Linked DNA regions of Saccharomyces cerevisiae S288C. The protein of the gene in region 1 interacts with the protein of each later gene in a pairwise test. Each region holds a gene or a part of one and is shown in the gene's direction. Other genes may lie near its edges.

Region 1 (3,551 bases):
AGTGACATATATATACACCCACACCCACACACCACACCCACACCCACACACCACACCCACACACCCTAACACAATCCTAACAGTACCCTATTCTAACCCTGATGAACCTGTCTCCAAACCTACCCTCCATTACCCTACCTCCCCACTCGTTACCCTGTCTCATTCAACCATACCACTCCCAACCACCATCCATCATCTCTCTACTTACCACTAACCACCGTCCACCATAACCGTTACCCTCCAATTACCCATATCCAACTCCACTACCACTTACCCTACTATTACCCTACCATCCACCATGTCCTACTCACTGTACTGTTGTTCTACCCTCCATATTGAAACGTTAACAAATGATCGTAAATAATACATACATACTTACCCTACCACTCTATACCACCACTACCACCACCGCCACTTGCCACACTCACCTTCACTTCTACTGATATGTCATACGCACACGGATGCTACAGTATATACCATCTCAAACTTACCCTACTTTCATATTCCACACCATGGCCCCATTCTCACTAAATCAGTACCAAATGCACTCACATCATTATTCACGGCACTTGCCTCAGCGGTCTATACCCTGTGCCATTTACGCATAACTCCCACGATTATCCACATTTTAATATCTATATCTCATTCGGCGGCCCCAAGTATTGTATAACAGCTCTTAATACATACGTTATACCACTTTTACACCGTATACTAACCACTCAATTTATATACACTTATGCCAATATTACAAAAAAATCACCACTAAAATCACCTAAACATAAAAATATTCTATCCTTCAACCATAATACATAAACACACTTAATTGCGTCTTAATACTATCATGGTATCATTAACTTAAAGTTCCTTAATATCGTCATACCACTATGCTCTATTCCATATATTGTAATATAACTGTACTCTATAGTCATACAGACGCTTTTACTTCACCCCATCTTATACTATTGTCATAGAATCTCACACTGACGCATGATTAAAACGAATAATTTTTACTGTAAGGGCTGCCATCCGCGCTCTATCCTTTTGTTTGCAATATTTATATACAGAATCTCAAAACAAGCGGGAGAAGTGCTAATTACCCAGAGGTCATGCATGATCTGAGTACCACCGTACCTCTAGGTTTTGCTTTGATCCGTTTTACAGTGACACCGAACATAAGGGGAAGCTATTGACATGGTATCGAAAGGTTGTCCACATTGGGAAGTAACTTGGTTCTATGAATCTTCATGTCAGATACGTAGGACAGACTCTTTCCTGTGTAAATATTTGTGACAGCTACGTCTATTTTCTACTAGATGTTTACACAGTTTTGTCACAGGAAATCTACGCTTAAAATATGTATTTCATTCAAGCGGTAACCGCTGTACGAGCAGTGACATTGCTGGTCGCACCCTAAATGTGAACCAACGTTACGGCACACCGTGATGTACCCGCATTAAAGTTTTGTAAATTCGTTATTACGATTATCGAGTTGGCTAGATAGAAAACCGGAAATGTAATGGATGCCCTTTTCGAATAGCTGAGTTTCTTTGCCTAAAATAGCCCAATATTGTTGCCCTTTTTCTATCACGAGGTTACTGAGCCATTGCATGAACGCGCGCGCCTCGGCGGCTTTTTTTTTCTGCTGTGCTGTATAAAAGCGAAAAGCCAGAAGTTACTATCTCGAATAAAAAACCCCTCGAACTGCCATCTCACTACCGAAAATGAAAGAGAATGAACTTAAAAATGAGAAGAGTGTAGATGTATTATCCTTCAAACAGCTCGAATCCCAAAAGATTGTTCTACCTCAAGATCTTTTCAGAAGCAGCTTTACCTGGTTTTGTTATGAAATTTACAAGTCCTTAGCGTTTCGCATCTGGATGCTATTATGGCTACCACTTAGCGTCTGGTGGAAACTTTCCAACAATTGTATTTACCCACTTATAGTTTCACTTCTGGTCCTGTTTCTGGGACCAATATTTGTCCTTGTTATTTGTGGACTTTCTCGTAAGCGTTCCTTATCGAAACAACTCATTCAGTTTTGCAAAGAGATTACTGAAAACACACCAAGTTCTGATCCTCATGATTGGGAAGTTGTTGCAGCAAATCTAAATTCGTACTTATATGAAAATAACGTTTGGAATACTAAGTACTTTTTTTTCAATGCCATGGTCTGTCAAGAAGCGTTCAGAACAACCCTTCTCGAACCATTTTCTTTGAAAAAAGATAAAGCTGCCAAGGTTAAGTCATTTAAGGATTCCGTCCCTTACATTGAAGAAGCATTGGGAGTTTATTTTACAGAAGTTGAAAAACAATGGAAATTGTTTAATACTGAAAAATCATGGAGCCCTGTTGGCCTGGAAGATGCTAAACTTCCCAAGGAAGCTTACCGATTTAAGCTTACTTGGTTTTTAAAGAGGATTTCCAATATTTTTATGTTGATACCATTCCTTAATTTTTTGTGCTGCATATATGTGTCACGGGGAATGTGCCTTCTATTACGCACCTTGTATCTCGGGTGGATTCTTTTCATGTTGGTACAAGGTTTCCAAAATATAAGGGTTTTGATTATGAGCATGGAACACAAGATGCAGTTCTTGTCGACTATTATAAATGAGCAAGAAAGTGGTGCGAATGGATGGGACGAAATTGCAAGGAAAATGAATAGGTACTTGTTTGAGAAAAAAGCCTGGAAGAATGAAGAGTTTTTCTTCGACGGGATTGACTGTGAATGGTTTTTTAACCACTTCTTCTACCGCGTTCTATCTGCGAAGAAATCTATGTGGCCTTTACCATTGAATGTGGAACTATGGCCATACATTAAAGAAGCGCAATTATCCCGCAGTGAGGTGCTCTTAGTGTAGAGATAAATACAACTTTTTCAATTTATATATTTTGTAGTTTGTCAGCTGCGAATAACCAAAACGAGACTACTTTTTACAATTATTTTACTGTATTGATTACAATCCAGCAGTTTCAAACGAGGCTTCTGTTGTTAATCAGACAATATGTTGAAAACTTTATGAAATTCTGTATTGCAAACCCCAACAAACGTACCGCCGCTATTCAAAGTTCCAATTACATTATGAGTTTTATGGTCTCATTTTGCCACATTGTAAAAATATTTTTTACAGTTCCCACTAGTAATGGATTCCCTCTAAGACAGTACACTGCTGTTCTTGTCACAAATCCAGCTTTATAATAACGTACTAGAAGATATCATGACTATAGATGTACTTCTTAAAAATCAATACGTAGAAATATTTAGACAAACCATCTGAAAGCGTTTGTCGAGTTATGAGAGCTTTGTTTTAAAGAATCATTGAGGCATTTTATATTAAATTTGCAGTCCCAGGTAGAGCTTTATAGGAAAATGCGAATCCAAAAATTTGTTCACTCTAGAGGGTCTAAGCATGGACACAAGATGGTATCGTCGCTGGAAAGTTTAATGATGTCGTGAGCACGCCTTTTTAAACATATTTTTATGATTTAAAGTGTATCTATCCTTTCCTACAATGTCCCCGCGCCTCACTTAATCCGAAGGTATTACAGTA
Region 2 (3,937 bases), on another chromosome or scaffold:
ATCCCCGAACCGAAGCCTTTGAAATTGATCTGCAAATGAGGTAATTCAGCTGGATGGTTTTTCATAATATATTGAACATCTGGGAAGAATTTCACGTCACCTCTCGGTTTATCTCAGTAGTATTTAGAGTATTCTTCAAGTTCTGATGGGAATTTTCTCGCCATGCCTGAATTTCAGTTAATACGTGTTTAAGCTCCGAAATCCATGTATCAAAATTCACTGCAAAAAGGTTGTAATTTGATGGAGGAGATCAAGCTAGGTAACATATTCATTCGAGATGTCCACCTGCACCGAGTAGTCCTCTTTAAATCTTGGAAGAAAACACGTCAGCGATGCCAAGATGAGTGGGCTTCAAACCAAAACCAAAATTTCAACGTATAGGCCATTGTGCTCGATGATGAAGGGACTGCAAAAATATCGGTGGTTTAAGATAAGCAATTGTAAGATATAGAAGAAAAGCTGACGAAAAAAGAACTCATACCTTACTCCAAAATGGACACTGACATATTCTCCCATTCGGTGGATTTGAAATCCTCAGTGGATAGATAGGCAGAGTTGAGCCAATTTGCCTAGGGAGTTGATTACCGTTAATCCTGCTTGAAAGCAGCATATTAAACCTTCCCCGAAGTTTGCCATAGGACCGTATGACGCATCCTGGACTTCATCCCATCACTGTGCTGGGACTTGAAAATAAATGTTTCGCCCGTGGTAAAAAGTGTGTGGGAATAAGGTAGCCCTCTACTTCTTAGCATACTCAAAAAGAGATGCTAATAGTCAATCTACGGCCTGATTCAGGACTGCCTCACGGAAAATTACATCGCTTCGGGATTCGTGATCATCTGGCTAGAGTTTCTTGATATGTATCTCTGAGCGATATGGCTATTTACTAAGCAGTTGCCACCTTTGAGAGTAGTTGCCAACATGGACAGCAAATTTGCAGAAATAGGAAAGGACGCCACGGTACTCCCTAACCGACTACAAACTCATCTTTTCCGGAATGAAATGGTATTACCACCGAAGACGTCATTGCTGATCACATAAACAAGATTCAAGAGCGTGGTTACGTCTCAGAACCGACGATCCTCGTGAGGCTTGCTTGGCGCAGGGCTTCAATTCCATTATTTTGCGGAATCTTCTACGAAGCCCTTCCAGCATAGAGAAATGAGACAAAACCTCACAGGATTTACGAAGACCACTGCATGTAGGGCTGATATTGTGAAGGACACTTCCTAAAGGTTAGAACTAGTAGCATAAAACGAATAGATACAAGATTATCCTATTATAAATACGTGTTCGCACCGTAGTATCCATATAACGGCATTTTGCAACCATTCACATAAGATAGACTGTTCCGCTTCATCGCATAGTCGGCCACACTGCATATGTGTATTTTGAGCGCTAGGCGTCAGTGTACTACGCCCTACAATAAGTTGTAGTCACAGAAGCGCGCGCGCGGGCACATGAGTGCATGATGACAGGCTCCTTCACTGGCATAACAATAGCGCACAGATCCGCAGGTTTCGTAATACGCTTAACAATAGGCGTCTCCTGCTGGTTGCCTTATTAATTTATATGGAAGACGAGATAATTCATTAATTAGTCTACTCGACTAGATGAAATAGCTTTTTCTGGTAGTTGCACAGAAAGAAGGAAGACAATAGATAAAAGAATGTGGACGAATATTTTGCATTCGCTATCATAATAGAATTCATTTCTTCTCTTTTTTCTTCTCTTTTTTCTTTCCATTTTTTATATATGAGAGCTGTAATTTCAATGTTGCCAAGAGCGTGTACCATGTTATTTTCCACTGTAGAACTTGTATCATCATCTATTGCTCTCATATCTGATATACTATCAAGCAAAAAAAACTCTAGCATTACACCATTATGAGTTTCGGTACGAGAATCTCCAGGGCTTTGAGATTTTTGGAAATTCCTGTTAAAAATAGGGCCTCCGTGAATTTTTTAAGGAACCCTGATTTGCAACCTATCAAGTCTGTTAATCAAACGTGGGGGTTTTGGTCTAATTTTGCGTATTGGGGTGTTCTGTCCTTCAACGTTGGTATGTGGATAGGCGGTTCGTCTGCATTAACTGTTGGGTTAAGTTACTCAGAGACCATCGGTGCGTTTATTATTGCTGATTTGTTGACCATCCTGTTTGCTTTAGCCAACTCTTGTCCTGGCTATGACTGGAAGGTCGGCTTCACTCTAGCTCAAAGATTCGTCTTTGGGATTTACGGTTCAGCTCTTGGTATCATTATCAGAATATTGATGAGTATTGTCTATTATGGTTCCAACGCTTGGTTAGGTGGGCTTTGTGTAAACATGATATTAGATTCTTGGTCTCACCACTATTTGCATCTGCCCAATACTTTGTCCTCGAAAGTTGCCATGACCACCAAGGAATTGATCGGCTTCATTATCTTCCATATCCTTACCGCGTTCTGTTACTTTATGAAGCCATACCATATGAACTATATTTTAATTTGGTCGTGTGTTGGTACTTTCTTCGCCATGTTGGGTATGGTAATTTACTTAACTAAGAGCGCACATGGTGTTGGTGACTTGTTCACTTCTACTCATTCCACAGTTACTGGCTCTAAAAAGGCTTGGGCTTGGGTTTATACGATCTCGTACTGGTACGGTTCTGTTTCTCCAGGCTGTACCAATCAAAGTGACTTCTCCAGATTTGGTTCCTCTAATTGCGCTATCTGGACTGGTACTATAGTTGCTTTACTAATACCAGCAACCTTGATCCCAGTATTCGGTATCATTGGTGCTTCTGCTTGTGAAAAATTATACGGTCAAACATTTTGGATGCCTATGGACATCTTTGACAACTGGTTGACAACTAACTATTCTGCAGGCGCGCGTGCAGCTACATTCTTCTGTGGTTTTTGTTTTGTAATGTCTCAAATTTCATATACCATCTCCAACTGTGGGTTTGCCAGTGGTATGGATTTGGCTGGTTTATTACCGAAATATGTTGATATTAAGAGAGGTGCTATTTTTGCCGCATGCGTCTCCTGGGCCTGTTTGCCATGGAACTTTTACAACTCTTCTTCTACTTTCTTGACTGTTATGAGCTCTTTCGGTGTCGTAATGACACCTATTATCACTGTCATGATCTGTGATAATTTCCTCATCAGGAAGAGACAATACTCCGTTACCAATGCCTTTGTTCTAAAGGGTGAATACTATTTTACCAAGGGTGTCAACTGGAGAGCTATCGTTGCCTGGGTGTGTGGTATGGCTCCCGGTCTACCTGGTATCGCTTGGGAAGTCAATAATGACTATTTCCACAACACTGGTATTATAAATTTTTTCTATGGTGATTCTTTCTTCTCCTTTTTGATTTCCTTTTTCGTCTATTGGGGACTATGCCTCCTCTTCCCATTCAAAATTACTGTCAAACATGATGACAAAGATTACTACGGTGCGTTTACCGACGAAGAAGCAAGGAAGAAGGGCATGGTTCCATACAGTGAAATTTCTGAAGAAGAAATCCGTGCTTACACATTAGGCGAATGCTTCACAAGTGGACACGAATACAAACCTGAGAGCTCCGATGATGAACTACCTGAGTTGACAAAAACTAGTTCAGAAAACACAAAAGTGTTTGAAATTGTTCATCAGAAAGATAATGAAAAGGAATCCTCTACTTCCAGTGAAAAACAAATTGCCTAATGAGCAAAAAACCTAATAAAATGATCATACTTAGTGTTCATTCAAGATCTTTCGCTAGTATTAAAATTCGAGATAATTAAACACACTCTTTAGTCCCAGGAAACACTACTATTAAGCTTGTTGGTCGTACAGGATATAGAGGTCATTTCGATTATTTCATTCTTCCACTAATGTTTGATTGACGATTCAGATCACTGTTTTTGTTTGGCTGATAATTGTAACAAGAAAAAAAAACTACCGCTTCTTTTCAG

The links.
Region 2: the proteins of COS3 (region 1) and THI72 interact in a protein complementation assay, tested with the Saccharomyces cerevisiae proteins (one large-scale study listed by BioGRID).

Annotation. Positions count from the first base shown.
Region 1 is NC_001145.3:5,523-9,073, forward strand, and holds COS3 (Cos3p), read left to right. Parts: upstream 1-1,721; coding exon 1,722-2,861; downstream 2,862-3,551.
Region 2 is NC_001147.6:698,517-702,453, reverse strand, and holds THI72 (thiamine transporter), read left to right. Parts: upstream 1-1,886; coding exon 1,887-3,686; downstream 3,687-3,937. UniProt on the Saccharomyces cerevisiae protein: Low affinity thiamine transporter responsible for intake of thiamine. It is possible that the primary function is the uptake of closely related compounds and that thiamine transport is a secondary activity of these proteins.